Linked DNA regions of Oryzias latipes. The protein of the gene in region 3 interacts with the protein of the main gene of each other region in a biochemical or structural test. Links are inferred from orthologs where the notes say so. Each region holds a gene or a part of one and is shown on either strand. Other genes may lie near its edges. The genes, in order: activator of 90 kDa heat shock protein ATPase homolog 1, usp19 and heat shock protein HSP 90-alpha.

The links.
Region 1: the proteins of heat shock protein HSP 90-alpha (region 3) and activator of 90 kDa heat shock protein ATPase homolog 1 form a complex in vitro, tested with the Homo sapiens proteins (4 studies listed by BioGRID). The link is inferred for Oryzias latipes from reciprocal best matches to the Homo sapiens genes HSP90AA1 and AHSA1.
Region 2: the proteins of heat shock protein HSP 90-alpha (region 3) and usp19 form a complex in vitro, tested with the Homo sapiens proteins (3 studies listed by BioGRID). The link is inferred for Oryzias latipes from reciprocal best matches to the Homo sapiens genes HSP90AA1 and USP19.

Annotation. Positions count from the first base shown.
Region 1 is NC_019880.2:21,589,067-21,593,458, reverse strand, and holds the start of activator of 90 kDa heat shock protein ATPase homolog 1, read right to left. Parts: upstream 2,888-4,392; 5' UTR 2,606-2,887; coding exon 2,526-2,605; intron 1,903-2,525; coding exon 1,712-1,902; intron 1,558-1,711; coding exon 1,475-1,557; intron 1,391-1,474; coding exon 1,273-1,390; intron 1,047-1,272; coding exon 955-1,046; intron 876-954; coding exon 738-875; intron 664-737; coding exon 562-663; intron 478-561; coding exon 426-477; intron 1-425. UniProt on the Homo sapiens protein: Acts as a co-chaperone of HSP90AA1. Activates the ATPase activity of HSP90AA1 leading to increase in its chaperone activity.
Region 2 is NC_019865.2:4,259,565-4,263,218, reverse strand, and holds part of usp19 (ubiquitin carboxyl-terminal hydrolase 19), read left to right. Parts: intron 1-1,826; coding exon 1,827-2,294; intron 2,295-2,945; coding exon 2,946-3,279; intron 3,280-3,489; coding exon 3,490-3,646; intron 3,647-3,654. UniProt on the Homo sapiens protein: Deubiquitinating enzyme that regulates the degradation of various proteins by removing ubiquitin moieties, thereby preventing their proteasomal degradation. Stabilizes RNF123, which promotes CDKN1B degradation and contributes to cell proliferation.
Region 3 is NC_019882.2:17,298,660-17,300,926, reverse strand, and holds the end of heat shock protein HSP 90-alpha, read right to left. Parts: intron 2,181-2,267; coding exon 1,990-2,180; intron 1,912-1,989; coding exon 1,764-1,911; intron 1,682-1,763; coding exon 1,413-1,681; intron 1,334-1,412; coding exon 1,000-1,333; intron 912-999; coding exon 802-911; 3' UTR 555-801; downstream 1-554. UniProt on the Homo sapiens protein: Molecular chaperone that promotes the maturation, structural maintenance and proper regulation of specific target proteins involved for instance in cell cycle control and signal transduction.

The DNA.
Region 1 (4,392 bases), on a different chromosome or scaffold from region 3:
ACGATGGACGATGGTCCACCGGAACGACACTGGTGTAATTGTCAACCGACCAAAAGTGTTGAACAGCTCAAACCGTGTTCAAGTAAAGACCCGTCGATCAAAACCCTCGACGGACATCGATGAATGACGAACACAAGACACACTGATGAACGACGTAGACCACGCATGGATCACGGAAGACCCACATGTCATACGTGGAAAACACATAGCGTGTCAGCTTTGATCTACTGACACGCTAAGATCACGAGAGCGCGCAGGAATGTTCTCCTAGAACGCTCCTGCTGGACCCCGCAGCTCCCCTGCGAGCGTCCATCAACTGAAAGATGAATGTCAGCGGTTTGAATCCCTGTTTATCCGTTCTATAGGACAGACTCTGCGGGTCTCATCTCACTGCTGGTGGACGTTGGTGCAGTGGGGACACTCACCGCAGGGCCAGGTGTTATACCTCCACTTCATGACGATCTTCTCATCGGGAACCTGAGGGTGAAAGCAGCGTTACATTGAGCGTTTCCACGCAGGAAGGCAGCAGGCGTACGCTTTCACGGCGAGCGGCGGTCTCACCAGCTCTGTGAACTCTCCACAAACGTTGCCGTCCAGCAGGCGAAACCTGCCCCCCCTCTCCGCCTCCACGGCCGCGGCGCTGTGCGTGAAGGCCCGAACCATCTGCGGCAGAACAGCGACAGTCAGACGGCGGTCCGAGCCCGGCGGGAACCGGCTCCGGAGCGCCGGCGGCTCACCTCCTGGTTGACGAAGACTCTGTACAGATCCGCCGGCGAGGTGAGAAACGTGTCTCTGATGCTGAATTTACAGGTGGGGATCTTCACGCCGGCGTTGGCCGGAGCGGCTGCGCTGCTGCTGCTGCCGCCGGAGCAAATCTGTGCCACGAGCAGAGCGACATTTCAAAGACGGTTCTCCACGCAGGCCTCACTTCTGAAGCGGCGGCGCAGAACAAACCTGGGTTTTATCCAGCTTGGCTTTGGATTGTGAAGCAGACGGCACCTTGGCCACGCCGTTGGCGGTCGGCAGGATCATCCCCTGTGTGAACTCTGAAATGCAGAAACGCCTTAGAACGAAGCGCCAACACCTGCGTGACGCTGAAGTCAGACCGGGCTCCGCTAACCCAAAGGGGCAACAACTTCTCTCTGCTCTGAAACGTTATTTTAGAGGCATTTTTTCATAGATAGGAACTTTGAATTCTTTAAATAAAACTTTAAAGTATTTTTAAAACAGTCTTTTAAAGACACAGCTCTCTGAGATTATGAAGCTCCTGACCTGTTTTTAAGAAGTCTACGTAGCTTCCGAGCGCTTGGCGGACTTTCTCGGCGCCTTTCGTCTTCATCAGGCTCAGCAGCGGCGTGTCCGGTTCGTCTTTGTTCATCATCACAGAAATCTGGACCCAAACCAGAGACGACGGACTTCAGAGAACATCTCCATCAACCCCAAGCACAAAGTTCCCGGTCAGACGGAGACTTACGGCCAGATCCTCCATGTCGTTCTCATCCGACAGGTTGGGAACCTCGATGGTTCCTTTGTATTTGACTCCTGTTTTAGACTTTCCTACGGGGGACAAGAAGACAAACGTCAAATAAACTCCTCCCTAGTTTTTTTTTTTAATCAAATGAGCCGAAATATTCTGGGCTGTAAAAGAAAACGAGAAGACAAAACCAACGAGCGACTCTGCTCAAAGGAACTTGTTGAACTTTGAACTCACCGGTCCAAGCTGCCTTCACGTTCCACTCGTAGAAGAAGATGAGTTTGCCTTTGCGGTTGTTGATGGAGGCTTCCCCTTCCAGTTTGCTGACTTCTGTCACCTCGCACGTCCCCTCCTCGTTTTCCACGCTCAGCCCGAGCAGCAGCGCCTTCAGCTTGTCCGTCGACCAGTTTGTGGCGTCTCGCTCCGTCCTGCGAGTCGTGGGAAGACGGTGATGAAAGGAACAGCCAAGACGCAGCGAACGGTGCCGTTTTTTTTTTGGTTTTGGCATCAGGGCTGCAGCAGGCAGGCGTGTTGCACCTGCGCCTGAATCAGGCGCAGGTGCAACACGCCTGATTCAGAAACATGAGAAAACAGCCTTTTCCTACTAGCGTTGTTGCTCATTGGTTGGAGGGTTTAAAGGCCTGATTGGGCATCTGAACCTGCCATGGAACTATTAATGAAAAGGTTCCACTAAAAAGTCGTAAAAACCTTAAATATATAAATATAGAAAGTAATTTTCTGTCATATTCTGAAGTGATGTCATCACAGAGCGTGCAGCATTCATCAGCATGCAGCAGCTAGCTAACGCGGTGTAGCAACTGAGACATGAGGGTCCGCTGCTGCTACATCATCATGCTAAACCCCATTTCAGCTTGAATAAACATCCTGTTAAAACATACATGACAGAAAAATGGAGGATGTTTGATGAAAAACATGGCTGATCGATCGTGGTAATAAGAGTCAAAGTCCGGCTTTTCACGGCGGAGGGGTCTGCAGTGTGTTAGCCGGCTACAGCCGGGCAGCGGGGTCTTTTTCATCCGCCCTGCCTTACCAGTGCCAATTGTTGACATTCGTGGCGTCAGCTCTCTCCTCTACGATCCAGCGAGGGTCTCCTTCTCCCCACTTCGCCATTTGTCCGGGTTTACAGCAACCTAACCGTTGGGGAATGTCAGCTCCTTCTGCCGGTGAGGATCCGCCACACGCCGCGGCTGCTTCTAGAAACCTCCAGTGGTGCCGCCGCGTTTATGCGCCGGGCGCAGAAAATGCTGGAAGCGGAACTTTGTAGAAGAAGGAAAACAGTTCCCTCGCGCCGGAAGTGACGTCAATAAAAGGAGGTTCCGCAAGAGAAACTTTTGAACATTTTGGTAAAAGTTGAATTAAAAAAACATATATTAAACATTTGCAGATATAATAAATAAAAAACAACATTTATAACAATACAATAAAGAAATACAACAGAGTTCTGAATACAGAATAACATTGTTTTGACCGTATGAAAATCTCAACTATTAAGAACAAAATTATAAATATTTTTTATGTAAATAAAAAAAAACAAAAAAAATAATAACACAAATGATTAATCAATTATTGAAAATGGTTACATTGATTGACTTTTAATGATATTACTTCACTTGCTCCAAAAAATTGATAAATTGATACTTGATTTTTCCTAATGTAACATAATTTTGCACATATTTTTTACTTTTGATACGTGATCAAATTTTGCTAAGAAAATTTCTGAAACAGTGTTATGTCTATTTTACTGAAATAGTGTTATTTTTTTTTTAAATATCGATGACTTTTATAATTAAGATAATCTGCATATATTTTGAAAAACTGATCTGCATTTGCCATGTTGATTTCTAAAAGTTATTTTTTACATAATAGTTAAGTAATTCATCTTTGTCATGTGCTTTATTGACACTTAATGCTTCTTAATTCTGTCTGATAAAGTTATGAACCGAATAATTATAAATCATGTAATAAAATGGTTACAGTAGAACAGGGCTGGAATTATATAAGTTTGCCTCCTTCCACTCCCTTTGAAGCAATATTTATTAATATGTCTAATTATCCTAAGATTGATTCGTTGTTGTATGAATGTATAACTGATGATTGTAATGTTTTTGTGTATTCTTATTTGATTGCTCGAAATAAACCATTTCAAATCAAATCAAAATAAGTATTATATATTTCTAAAACAAACCGGTGTTCAATAATAACCAAATAAAGCAATCACAGAAGGAAATAAATAAGTAACTAAAAAAAATTAATAACAGAAGAAAAAAAATAGAAATGCAAGAGTAATAAACATGTCACTAATCCAAAAGATTTACAGATGATAATCGTTTTTTGAGCCTTTTTATTTTTTGAAGCAGAAATTAGTTTTAAATATTGCTGCAGTTCCAGTTTCAGTACGAAGACTTGAGGATATAATTTAGCCATGAATAACAACATGTTTCTAAAATAGAAAGCATCACCATCTTCCTGTCCAAAACTATGAAAACCAAATATTACGTTTTTGTAATAAAGTTGAAAATAAGCAAAAATAGAGTCTGTGATGAATTTGTGGATGTTTTTCCATAATTTGTGAGTGAATATCCAGACCAGAATAAATGAGAGCATGTTTCCGGTTCCTTCTGGTGTTTAAGTCAACTTTAAATTTAGATCGGTAATGATTTGAAGGGTAAAATCTGTGTTTGAATGAGATTTCTTTGACTTTGTTATTGTTTAAAGTTAAAATTAATCCATTGTTTTGGAGGGGAAGCGTCATCATCGGTCATAAAGAAAACAATTGGGAGATTTATGGCAATTGTAAAAAAAACAAATGTATTCTAAGTAACTGATAAACAAAACAAACTGCTTGTTTTTTAGTGAGATAAATGGCAAAGCCTCTGCTAGTATTTCCTTTAAAACAA
Region 2 (3,654 bases), on a different chromosome or scaffold from region 3:
CCCTACTTACCTAAAACGCTCAGCGCTCTCTAGCTGCACCGGGATGACTCTAAAGGTCCGTTTGCAGTGCGCCTCCGTTGATTGCCGTATTTTCACGACTTAAAAGGCGCTCTTGCAAGTCTAAAACTTTCTCCAAACTGTAGGGGGCGACCTATGAGGCGGTGCACCTAATGTGTAGTTTTTGGAGCGCCAAGTACGACGCACGGGCGCCTCTGCGCTCCGTCCTCGCCCTGCGGGCTCCTTGCCTCTCCCTTTCCACCCTCTCGAGAAGGAGGGAAGGGAGAGGGCTCTCCTTCTTGGGGGGCGCCGAGGAGGAGCACTTCGTGCCCCCCGATGTCCGGACACTGCACGGTCCGGGCTCGGCTGCCGGTGGACCGAGCGAACCTTGTCCCTGAGCAGAGTAGCCAGACTTATAGATTTGTTTTTGTGGGGAAGGGAGGATGCTTTGCTACGGTGTGCACTATGTGTCGGAAGCTTCGCACTGCGAGCCCAAAATGATTCCTGCACTTTACGCCCTGACCAGAGCTATGGTACAGCAGAAAGAGTGGCATCCCTGCCCTTAGACCCCCCCCCTCCTCAAAAGACAGACGAGCAGCGTCTTGACGCTAAAAAGCCTGTGGTTCTCAAGAAAAACATGAACATATACACATAAATCACATGCAGCTTTTCCCCAAACGTTTTGCTCACAAAGATGTTTGCTTTTAGATGCACTTTTAGTTCATGTATTTTATCCCTGGTCATTTATTTTGAGAGCAGTTTATGTCTTAAATAACTTAAAGGAAAGTTCCTAGCTACTTGATTTTTGTTTTCTGGGAGATTTTTATTTTTGTTTACACCACATTTGCAACAAATTGTGTCATTTATTTTTAACAAAGACACTATAATTTGTTCACAGAATTAATATCTGATTTACAGCTATTTTTTTTTTAAATAATGCGAAAACTATGGCTTTGTTTTTTCAAGGTTAACACCAATGTGCCTAGCAGCTACTTGACTTATTCTATTTTATCCTGTTTACAGCAATTTAGTACTAAATAATGGCTGCTGTTCATGTTCACTATTGTTTAAACTGAATTTTACAGATATTTCCAAATGAAAATGTCATTGTTTTGCAAAGACAGTATTACTGATTTCAGCAATGTTACACAAAAGTCTGTTATTCATTACACCAAATATGACACAAGTTGTTTATTATCATTGTGTTTAAAAACGAAAAAATAAATGGGGAAATATTTTCCCAAAAGCAAATTTTTAAGTTCTTCTTTCTTAAAGTTTGATATATTGTGAGTTGTTAGAGACGATATATATCGATTCACATTATCGCCATATCGTGATAGTATCGTTATCGTGAGCAATGTATCGTGTATCGCATCGTGATTCCCAGCCCGAATTGAAACTGGACGCTCCTGCAGCGCAGATGGCATTTGGTGAAAGCAGCTTCAGGATTTCACTAAGATGAACTGATGGTTGAGTCTAAATGTCTCCAAACTTTCCTGGTTGACATTAGTTAAACTGTTATCTCTGCTGTTTTAAACTGTCCCTAAAGTTTACATGAATCAACTAGGACTGCGCTGCTCTATATGTGAGACTGAATGACATTCTGTTGCATAAAAGTCTTGTTAAAAATATTAAAATACAAAGTTTGTGCAGGGGTTTGTGTATTTTTTTATGCATTTTTGACGAGATTTCATGGAAAATTTCAAAATATATTTGGTTAATGTTCTACAGGTTTTTTACTTTTTGCTGATTAAAATTGTTATTTCCGTTGTGTCCTGCTGCTGGTGTTGCTGCATTGATACCTTTTACTTATTTCTTCTCTGTTCTAGTCAAACAAGAAGGTGAAGCAGGCTGCGGCTTCATCAGAAAAAGTCCGACCGTCGTCCCTCCAGCCTCACCCTCCCTCATCACCTTCACACGGCGAGTCAAGGCGAAGTAAAGCCGAGCGGGGTATGAAGCGTTGCTTGAAAAACAAAGCCTGTGACAAGGCCCCCGCAGACCTCGCTGGGGTAAAAAGTGGAGCTTCAGAAACGACCACCAGGCCAGCCGCTGCTGTATTAGCGGGCGAGCCGCATCCCCAGGAACCCAGCACCAAGCGGCCCATCATACGGCTGCCCAAGACCACCAAAGGGGCAGAAAAGGAGAAACTCGCTGCAAAGTCTGCAGCAGTGAACGGCGGTAAAGCCACAAACGGGCGGAGCCCCCAGACTCCAGGCAAAGACACAAACAGCAGAGCAGAGGAGCGACTCACCGGTCAGGAAGTCGGACCTGAAGTCTCTTCTGCAAACAGAGCCCAGGTGAGACTTGCTCAAAAACCGTCTTAAAAATGGTACTTTGAGTTTAAAAAAACCTGGGCGTTAAACTTAAATATTAACTCTTTGAAGTCCGGGGCCTTTTTAGTGTTTTTATAACTTAACAATTGGCTTTTAAAGCAGTTTTATGTCATTGATATTCTTTTTAGGATAACCCCTGCTACTTTTTTTTAGTGATATTTTTCATTCTATTACACAGTAGCTTAACAATAAATCTGAAACTATATGAAAAACACAATTCGGTGTAATTAATTTAGTCTTTTTTCTAACTGCAAAAATCACAAACATTGAGAACAAATTGGTTTTATGTTTTATAACACAATCAAACAAGTATAGATTTAACCCCCAAAAATGCATAAAAATGTTTAAAAAAAAAGCATGGGCTGGGAGGACAATTCACAATATTGCGATAAAGTTATGATTTGTGATACATGAACAAATGGCAGAACAAAAGACAACTAAGACAGCAGGGAAAGTTTACACTTTCTTAATTCAGGAAAGGCTCAAATCCCAGTCAGGTCGTTAAAAAGCTGAACGTCTAAACCGCCTTAAACATCAGTCGGTCGTCTTTAGAGATCAACGCAGAATCTTTTGGTTAACTTTCACTTCGGTCTTGTTCTTTTTCTCTTCCAAAAGAGAAACCAGTCATTAAACCGATCCGGAGTAAAAGCACAAGTTAAAGACGAACAGCCCAGAGCTCCTGAGAGCACCAGCCCCTGCCTCAAACCCGTCTGCTTCAACAAAGAAGCAGACTCCGCCTCTGGAAAGCAGAGGGAGTGCACGAACTCCGAGGTGGCGGCGAAACCCGCCGAGCTTAGCCCAGAGCCGGGTCCTGTGATCCAGCAGCAGCTGGTCTCGACAGAGGCGGTCCAGAGCCACGCAGCCGGTCTGATCCAGAACAGCTGTGATGGAGAAGAGAAACGGGATCGGCCAAAGGAAGAGCCTCCTCTGGAAATCAGTCCGCTGGAAGGTTAGCCGGGATTTTTGGTTTCCTGCAAAATGTAGAGCATCATTCATCCAAGTTCATCCTCTGAGCTGTTTTTGAGAAAACAGTTGATAGAAATGTTTTTACCTGGTTTTTAGTAACTGAGATCTTAACAATCAGGGCTCAGGAAGCTTTTGATCTGTTGGTTTTCGTTCAGCGCTAAATGTGAGTTTCCCGATGTGTTCGTCTGTGCAGCTCCAGAGCCGATGGTCAACCTGCAGTCTGTGAAGAACGGCTCGTACGAGAAGGGCACCGATCTGATGGTGGTTAATGTTTACATCAAAGGGGTTTGCAGGGACACTGCCAGAGTCATCTTCAGGGAGCAGGACTTTACCCTCATCTTCCAGACCAGGTCCGGTC
Region 3 (2,267 bases):
GGGCCAGTGTCCTACATGTTTTGCAACCATTGAAGCTTCTTATTGGAGCTGATCCACCTGTTCCAGGTGAAGATCAGGCAGGATTTCTGGAAGACCAGCAGGAAACGCCTAAAACATGATTCGGTCCTTGTTTTCTTAAAAAAAACCTGATAGCTCTGTTTATAGATTTGCTGTTACCCTTATATCAAAAGGTTAGGACAAACAAAATTAGTGATAATTAGATGGCAATATTGTACTATTTATGTTGTGAGGACTTTGGACTTTTGCAGCATTTCAAGTGTTTCTCTTAACACTTCCAGTGTTTGCATGTCATGCAATTGTAATTACAATTAAAGATCCAATAAAAATAGGTTTGTTTGAAGTCTCATAACTTAGAAAACTGATAACCAGTCACTTCAAGTTTCTTATTTTTGTTAGATCTTTATCTAATTATTGGCAGCATTCATTCAACCTTCCAATTACTTCCTTTCCCAATTTCCCCTTCACAATAAAAGCATCAATACGTCTCCCTTCCAAAAATCTCTTGTATTTGAAAAGAACCCCAGAACAAAACGTTTTTGCTTTAGAGTTTTATTTCTGTGCTCTGGTATTCCAACCTCCAGTAATATTTACAAATTAGAGCAACATTAGAATGTCAATAAATACAAAAACAATTACATTGTTACATCTGAAGAATAAAGAGTTTCAGAACAGCTCTGAATGAGCAAATGCAAACACGTGAGGAATAAGGAAAGAAATGATGACAACTCGTTTTAACATTTGAACTGTACATGGAACTATCTCAACACTGCAGCCGACCGATCAGTCCACCTCCTCCATTCTGGACGCGTCGTCGTCGCCTTCCAGAGGCGGCATGTCCTCAGTGGGAGCAGAAGTGGTTTCTTCTACCGGTGTGTCGTCCTCATCAATGCCTGCAGTAAAAATGAAAAATATTAGTTAAAAATCTATCAGGATATAAAACACAAACTCAAATATTGAACTTTTTGATGGACTCCTTACCAAGACCCAGTTTGATCATCCTGTAGATGCGGTTAGCATGTGTTTGAGGGTCCTCCAGGGTGAATCCTGAAGACAGCAGGGCGGTCTCAAACAGCAGGATAACCAGATCCTTCACCGATTTGTCATTCTTGTCGGCCTCAGCCTTCTGCCTTAGAGTCTCCATGATGGGATGGTCGGGGTTGATCTCCAGGTGCTTCTTAGCAGCCATGTATCCCATAGTCGAGTTGTCGCGCAGCGCCTGGGCCTTCATGATCCTCTCCATGTTAGCCGTCCAGCCGTAGGTGCTGGTGACGATGCAGCATGGGGAGGAGACCAGGCGGTTGGACACTGTGACCTGTGGAAGGACTAAAGCATTAGGACTGCATCCTACCAGGAGACCCCCCCGCCATCCAAAGAAGCGTTCTTCTGCTTACCTTCTCAACCTTCTTTTCCAGGATGTCCTTCATGATCTTGCAAAGGTTCTCAAACTGAGCTTTCTTTTCTTCTTGCTTCTTCTTCTCCTCCTCATCCTCAGGCAGCTCCAGACCTTCCTTGGTGACTGAAACCAGGTTCTTGCCATCAAAGTCCTTCAGCTGCTGGACACAGTACTCGTCGATGGGCTCGATCATGTAGATGACCTCAAGACCGGCTTTGCGAAGGCGTTCCACAAAAGCAGAGTTGGCCACCTGGTCCTTGGTCTCGCCTGAACCGCAAAACATGACGTCAATCATCTGCTAACACTCAGGTGAAGAATCAGCTCAGATGCAGGTGGAGCAAGGCCTCACCAGTGATATAGTAGATGTGTTTCTGGTTGTCCTTCATGCGGGTGACATAGTCTTTGAGGGAAACCATCTCATCTCCAGAGGCTGAGGTGTAGTATCTTAGCAGCTCAGACAGCTTCTTCCTGTTCTGAGAGTCTTCGTGAATTCCAAGCTAAAGGGGGACATAGTATGTTAGTGGAAATGAACTGGAATACACCTTTCAGAAAGGTTTGTGGCGTCACAAAGCTACCTTGATGTTCTTGGAGAACTGTTCATATAACTTCTTGTAGTTGTCCTTGTCCTCAGACAGCTCTGTGAAGAGCTCCAGACATTTCTTAACCAGGTTCTTACGGATGACCTTCAGGATTTTGCTCTGCTGCAGCATCTCTCTGGAGATGTTCAGGGGCAGATCTTCAGAGTCCACCACACCCCTGATGAAATCTGACAAATGAAAAGTAGAATTCAGTTTAGTCATTTTGCTCCCCGCTCACCTCAGATTAGAATAGAATCCAGCAGGTCCGGACACTT